Danio rerio: one gene and its partner. The protein of the gene in region 1 purifies or fractionates together with the protein of each later gene. This does not show direct contact. Links are inferred from orthologs where the notes say so. Each region holds a gene or a part of one and is shown on either strand. Other genes may lie near its edges. The genes, in order: ciao1 and narfl.

Region 1 (4,338 bases):
TTAAAACAGTTTGATATAGTACCTAATTGTTATAGCTAGCTTTTGTTAGTTTTATATTGGTTTATTTATTTAATGTGATTTTATTATATCTGATATTTGTAATTCTTTAAATTATTTCAATATGGCTTAGGCTATTTTATCTAGATATGACACTATTGTTTTGAGCCTACAAAAGTGGACACGAAATTTGTAAAGTTTAATGTCTTTCTGTTGTATTCATATAGTGTATTAACTCCAAAATAAATAAAAACAACAAAAAGAAAAGAAAAAAGCCGTACGGCATCAACAGAGTTGTGAAGGAAGAGCTCTTTTCCTTGGTCTCACACACATACAGGCATCTAAACTCGCACAAACACACCTTTTAAACTTGACAAAAACTCTCGAAAACCTTCACTGTCTGCTGTGTCTTTAATATGGTGTAAAGATTATTACGCGTTATTGAAACATCAAGGAGGACGCAGCAAAGAAAAGTCACTTATATAAATTAAAACTACTTTATTATTTTATGCAACAGCCTTACATTTAAAAGAGAAACATAAGGGCGATCATACGCAAAAAGACCCCAGCCTATTTGTTCCAGATGTTTTCTTTCCCTTGTTTATTTATTTATTTGTTTATGTGTTTGGCACATGTACTTGTGTGCGATCAGAAAATTGTGCCCGCCTCTCCTTTCACTCCGCCCCAAAGCCCCAGATGGCCCTCTTTGGCCCAAGGTATTTGGGGGGCCGAAAAAGGCCGGCCGCTGGCCCCAAGAAAGCCCTGATTTGGCTTGATTAGCCCCCGGAAGTGACAGTGGAAACGCGACTGGCCGTGGCTCGCTCGCTTTAGGCGCGATAGTGAAAACGCGGCTATTATCCTTAGACGCTGGCTAGATATTGAATTTTGATCACCTGACATCACAACCTAAAACTAACCTAATATTAACGTCTTATGACGTTGTGTGCTTGCTGGGCAATAACTCAATGCACTACAGAATTTTACGTTTACACACATTCACAAACTACAACGCATCAGTTTTTACCAGCGTAATACTCACTACTCTTGAGTACTTTTGAAAGGGCTACTTTTTACTCATACTTTGAGTAATATTCACAACATATAATTTTACTCTACTTGCACTTCATTTTTAGGCAAGTAATGGTACTTGAGTAGGATTTTTCAGTATCTTTCCACCACTGATGGAAACACAACTAGCTGACTTCTGTAGTAGTTTTTGTTCCAGCTATGGATGTCAACGGCTGCTTTTTTTCTTCAGAATGTCTTGTTTTGTGTTCAAAGGTTTGGCATTACTTCAGGGTGAGCAAATAAATATTTAGCTTTGTGTGAACTATCCCTTGAATGAAACGCTACAGTCCTGATGGTGGCGCTACTGCCGCGCATTTCTATCAACCGCAAGACACTGAAGCACAAAACAGGAAGCGGGAAGCAGCTGATAAACAGAAGACTTGAAGTTGTGTGACATCCGAGAGAGAACAGTGCTGCCGACAGGGAAACATTTACATGTCACATAGTAATAATTAATAACACACAGTTATATGAAATGAAGGGCGCGCTGGAGCTACAGCACAGGGTGAGCGCGCACCCGGACTCGCGCTGTTGGTACGTCGCGTGGAATCCCGCGGGCACGACGCTCGCGACCTGCGGCGGAGACCGTGCGATAAGAATATGGGGCAAAGAAGGTAAAACATAGCAAAATACATGTGTACAGCACACGTTTAAATCTATTTATTTAACCCTTCTGTTGTATTAGAATTATGTATACACGGTTCGCCCTTCACTAAACCCAAAACTGGTTTTATATTTAGACATTCGGACTTTCTCCTTAACTTAATAATATAAAGCTAATGATTATCAAAGTAAATCATTGTTTACAGTTAGATAAATAGTGTTAATGTTGTTTTTAAGCCATACTTGCATGTGATTTCAGACCGAATATACAAAGTACCATGATAAACATTATAGGAAGCATGTCACAAGTTGTCACTTAATGAATGGACGAATATAAAACCCAACTCTAACGTTATCTTAATTAAAATAAATCAGCTACATTTTATTTCAATCCTCAGATCTATTTTGCACAAAGAAACCATCTCATCTTCATCACAAACTCTGAATGTCTAGGTTTCCCTCAGGTTTCATTGTGGAGTATTTCACCAATGTTTAACTTAATCAGAGGCCATAGGTTTTGACTGAAGTACAGGCTTTATTTTCTAATGCTATTGTGTGTGAGTATTGTTTTTGTAGTGTAAAAATGGTTTTATAGTTGGTGTCAAAATTGAGCACAAGGACAACCGTTGTACCCTAATGTGTGAGCAATTCCAGCATTTTGGATGTGACAATTATTAGTTAAGCATAATTGCGCAGAGAAAGTATATGTAAACATATTAAAACATATTTATATTTTCTAAAACAACTACAGAGTTATGGGGTCAGAAAAATATTTGCCGGTATAAGATACTGGCGGTATGATAACCTTGGTTTCACGGTATTGTAATTACTGCTCTAAAAGTTATTTTTAAATGCCTGGGTAAAAAAACAACAAAATTTTCCTCCTTTGAATACAATATATTTTATTTTTTGAAAGATTTATAATATTTTGGAGCAGTAAACATGTCAGGCTAAATAATTGAAATTAATTATTGACTTCTGCTGTCTTCATTTGTTTCAAAAACACAGATTTCTTTACAATTTATACGGCATCTTTGGATATCTTTTCTGCTGGAGATGCTGTTGTCCTAAAAAACAAACAAAAAAGTAAATAAAAAATCGTGCACATACCTTAGGAACGGTATCTGCCGATCTGATGCAGTTAGGGAGTTCATTCCACCAACTGGGCAGATTGAATGCGAGAGTTCGGGAAAGTGATTTCTTCCCTCTTTGGGACGGAACCACAAGGCGACGTTCATTCATTGAACGCAAGTTTCTGGAGGGCACATAGATCTGCAGAAGTGAGAGCAGATGAGAAGGAGCAAAGCCAGAAGTCGCTTTGTAAGCAAACATCAGCTTTGAATTTGATGCGAGCAGCAACTGGCAGCCAGTGCAAACGGATGAGTAGCGGAGTGACGTGTTCTTTCAGGTTCATTAAAGACCACTCGTGCTGCTGCGTTCTGAAGCAGCTGAAGAGGTTTGATAGAGTTAGCTGGAAGCCATATATAAAATATATATAAAACAATTTTTTTAAATACTTTTATTGTTTCAGAAAAATGTGATACATAATGTATTAGTAACCAAATACCAATCAAAGAACACCCAACCCCATCCCGACAGAGACATAATATATATATATATATATATATATATATATATATATATATATATATATATATGTTACACATACAGTACATGCAAAAAATATTAATTAATAAATGAATAAAAGTAAAATAAACTAAAATAAGATAAAATAATAATAATAAAAAGGGCAATTTTGAAAAAAAAAGACATTAAGACAATGACAGTTCAACACACATACATTCCAATGAAAGTGAAAAAGATATTAAAGTTAGTCATAACAAACACAGTGCACATTAACACAGTCACATTGTTTGTGATTACTAAACGTTCAGGCCATTCTTACTTAAAAAATAAAGAAAGAAGTCCCAAATCTTGTAAAATATGTGCATTTTTTGTTTGACTGAGTAAGTCAGTCTTTGCATTGCTATACAAGAAGACATTTCCTCAATCCAGAGTGACAAAGATGGACCATGAATACTTCTCCAGTGAATGGCAGTCAGGCATTTCGTATGCAATAGACACAGATTTTAAAACTTCTGTTCATATGACTTCAGCGATAAGGCAGGTGGGAAAAGACCAAGAACACAGATTTAGGGCAAACAGGGATTTCTTTAACAATAGTTTTAGAGATTACATCTATTAGGTATTTCCAAAAGGATTGCAAGTGCTCGCATTGCCAAACACAATGGAATAGTGTACTCTTGTAAGTCAAACATAAAACACAAAACAATTTTGATAATATTAATTTTTATTATATTTAAAATTTGTAAAAGCTTATTGAGAGGGAAAACTTATAGATTTAAAGGAAAAGTAAATATTTCAAATGCAATTAGATAATTATTTTGGGGTCTCACTGTGTTTTTAATGTATTTGCTGTTCTGTTTTTGACAATTTTTTTACATTTTGCTCCATCATGATAACAAAATATTAATACAATTTTAAATAATATAAAATATGAACCCTTTACAGGGCACTCATTGAAATACTCATTGGAAAATCCTTGGTGTTACTGGTGGTAATTACAAGACTTTTGAAGTTTTAGGACTTTTATATAGTCTCTTTAAAACATTAATAGCATCCAGAAAAATAGAAAAAAAGCATTATTGC
Region 2 (3,837 bases), on another chromosome or scaffold:
AAACACCTTAATTAAACTATTACCGTCATATAGTTATTGAGTTTCTGTTCAGAGACAGAAGCCCTGCCCAAAATGCCTTGTGCCATACTCAATTAAAAAACATGTCGAAATATTTTCTGAGCCTGATTTGAATGTTATGCAAGACTTAGTTTGTTCTTAATATAAATGTTTTTTTATGACTTACTTGTGTTGTTGCTCTTATTTGTACTAATTGTAAAGTTTGCATAGGGCTTTGACATTTTGTATGGTAAAGTTTTTGTTTGTCAGCTTTCACTAGAACTCCAGAAAAGACCAATGATGCACTCCTCTATTTGCATTGAATATTGACATTACTAAAGTAAACACAGTGGCATGCGATCTTCACAAATCTTTTACTTAAGTTAACAGTGAGTGATATATATATATATATATATATATATATATATATATATATATATATATATATATATATATATATATATATTTTATTTATTTATTTATTTTTTTAATGTTTTCACTTAATAGTGCATACTCACATGTTCGATGTTGGATTCACTTGATTTAATATTAACATAAACAGCATTGTTTTTATTTAAATGATTAATTGATTTTGAAAGGAAATTGATGTTGTTATTTCAAATATTTGTCAAAGATGTTATATACAGTTAAAGTCAGAATTATTAAGCCATCTGATTTATTAGCCCCCCTGTTTTGATTTTTCCCCATTTTCTGGTTAACAGAGACAAGATTTCTTCAACACATTTCTAATCATATTAGTTTTAATAACTCATTTCTAATAACTGACGTATTTTATATTTGCCATGATGACAGTAAATAATATTTGACTAGATATTTTTCAAGACACTTCTATACAGCTTAATACATACAGTTAATTAGGTTAACTAGCCAGGTGTGCATTTCCCAAACAACGACGTAACTCGCAGCTTAACTAACATAGTACTATGCATTGTTTGGGAAAAGAACGATGTAGTGACTAGTGTTTCCCAAAACCCGTAGTTTCTCTCGCAGATCCATCGCTTGAACCACGTTAATTATAATGTAAAACGCCCAGAATAATGCTCTAAACGGTGTGGTAAAAAACTTCTTTATAGAAAAACCCCATCATTTTTTTGCGCAAATTGTATTGTTTTACTCGCACACGCATAAAAAAAATCAATATCAGTTTTAGTAAAAACATGCACTCACTTTCTAAATAATTCAAATATATGTAAACAGCACATATAGGGCTTGTGTTTCCTGTACAAATATTATAGAGAATATTATATATTCTATTCTAAAACATAAAATTCTGATAATATAATAATAATAATTCTGACTTCCACTTCATATGCATACACACACTCATACATACATGTTTCTATAGACATACAGTTGAAGACAAACTTGTTCGCCCTCCTGTAACATGAATAAAAAATCTAATAAGTATATGCTAAGGTCAATATTAATATATTTAATTTCTCAATTGGCTACAGAACAAACCACTGTTGTCCATTGACATGCCTAATTAACTTGTCTAGTTAAAATAAGTAAACTAGTTTTGCCTTTAAATAGAAAAGACAAAATAAATTAGTTATTACAAAATAGTTATTAAAACCATTATGTTTAAAAAATATGTTTTTAGTAAATGTAGGAAATATTTGAAAAAGAACAAACATTTCACAGGAGGGATAATATTTTTATCTCTGTTATCTAACTGATAACTGTGTATATATACACTTAACTAAATAACTATTTTTTTTTTTACTTCTTTATATTTAAATGACATTTCTGATGTCGATATTCATTTCAAAGTAGGATATATTGAAGCTTTGCTATGTCAGATGAGGTATGAGACCTTTATTCTCCATCTTTTGTTATAATAGGGTGTTTCACCACAGATGATTTACCACGTAACTGTGATGCCCTGCTATGACAAAAAACTAGAGGCTTCCAGACCAGACTTCTATCTCAGTGAGCACGAGACCAGAGAGGTGGACTGTGTCATCACTTCAGGTGAGTGAATCTAATCACGTTAAAGCGACAGTTCACCCCCCAATATCAGCTGCTAATTTAGTCCCTCTAAAGACATTGAAAATGTCGGGGCTTTTTTATTTGTTCTGTAATCTGCGGTCCTTCTCTATTTCTAAAATGAAATTAGTGACTACCGACATTCAATTTCTGCAGTGAAACACAATCATTACATGCAAGCTTTTATTTACAGTCTAGTACATTCACATGTATATGAATAGAAGGCAATAGGGATCAATAGTATGACCGCACCTTTACTTGTAATCATTACAGGGTTGTGGTTTGTCTGTTTAAATACAGATTAAATACAGTAACTTGCAGATCTTTGCTGACAGAGAGAACTGGTTAATCCAGTAATCTAAAATAAACCGGTTGTAACTGATGGCTAGTGCAGAAATCAGACGCCACTCAGGACCATTTGTCAAGGCTGTGAATTACAGGTTATAATGCTAAATATAACGTTCAAATATTTGGACAGAGTTATTGTTTTGTCTGAATACTTAAATGTTTCATTAAGAACCATGGGTATATTTTTTGTTTTGCCTTTGTATGTCTTTCAGATTAATATAGTGATGGTTACTATTGACCAGGGCCAGATAGAATCTACATTTAAAATCACATTTAGCTCACATTTGCATAAGTAAATAAATAAGAACTCTCTGTTTTATGTATGCCTGTGGGAGCAGATTCTGTGTGGATCTGGCATTAATTCATTTCATGGTCAGCAATAATCGCCAAAAATCTTCTTTAATGTTTTACTGATAAAAAACAAATCTCCTACATATTTGATTATCTGTGAGCATGGAGCAGCAAATGTTTATTCTGGTGTGAACCATGCCTCAAAAAGACAAACTAAAGTCAACCATTATGACTATTAGAATGTCTCTGGATTTTTTCTGATTGACAGGGGAAGTTTTGAAGATGCTGGAAGAGGAGAAGGTGTCCTTGAGGGATGTTCAGCCGGCACCTTTAGACACTATGTGCGTTCTGCATCTCTTCACAGTCTAATTGAGCTATACATTATGAAATGGAGTCGTCTGGTGAGTTTTGTGATGCGAATGTGTGTTTTAGGTTTAGTAATGTGTGTGGTGAGGAGCTGCTGGGCCACGCAGGAAGCGGATCTGGCGGGTATCTTCATCACATCTACAAACATGCTGCCAAACAACTGTTTGGTGTCGACGTTGATGAGCTCACTTACAAGACTATGAAGTATGTATTATAAATATGCTTCATGCTTATGTATTTCTAATGCAAGAAATATATGAGCAAAATATAATATATATGGCAGTTAATCAATACTCATTAAAGCATGTGACAGAAGGAATACCTGCAGTAAATGCATTGCTTATCACTTGTATAGCTTTTTCATTCATTCATTCATTTTTTTTGGGCTTAGTCCCTTTATTAATCTGGGTTCGCCCCAGCAGAATAAACCACCACTTTATCCAGCATCTGTTTTACACAGCGGATGCCCTTCCAGCTGCAACACATCACTGGAAAACGTCCATACACGCATCCATACACACATACACGTTTTAGCTTATTCAATTCACCTGTACCACACATGTTTTTTACTTGTGGGGGAAACCAGAGCACCTAGAGGCAAACCCACACAAACTCGGGGAGAACATGCAAACTCCACAGAAACACCAACTGACCTAGCCGGGGCTCGAACCAGCACCCTGTGCGATTGTGCTACCCACTGCGCCCCCATGCTGCCTTGAATATCTTTTTTTGTTCTTTTTTTTATTACCCTTTTTGATTTAAAATATTCCCATCAACATTAGTACTGATATGGCATTAAAAAAATAACCAAATAAATAAAAAAAA

Evidence for each region.
Region 2: the proteins of ciao1 (region 1) and narfl purify together in Homo sapiens (affinity purification with western blotting; 3 studies listed by BioGRID and IntAct, with this or other methods). This does not show direct contact. The link is inferred for Danio rerio from reciprocal best matches to the Homo sapiens genes CIAO1 and CIAO3.

Annotation. Positions count from the first base shown.
Region 1 is NC_133183.1:6,297,777-6,302,114, reverse strand, and holds the start of ciao1 (probable cytosolic iron-sulfur protein assembly protein ciao1), read left to right. Parts: upstream 1-1,431; 5' UTR 1,432-1,540; coding exon 1,541-1,679; intron 1,680-4,338. UniProt on the Homo sapiens protein: Key component of the cytosolic iron-sulfur protein assembly (CIA) complex, a multiprotein complex that mediates the incorporation of iron-sulfur cluster into extramitochondrial Fe/S proteins.
Region 2 is NC_133178.1:17,544,339-17,548,175, forward strand, and holds part of narfl (cytosolic Fe-S cluster assembly factor narfl), read left to right. Parts: intron 1-1,862; coding exon 1,863-1,992; intron 1,993-2,914; coding exon 2,915-2,987; intron 2,988-3,078; coding exon 3,079-3,216; intron 3,217-3,837.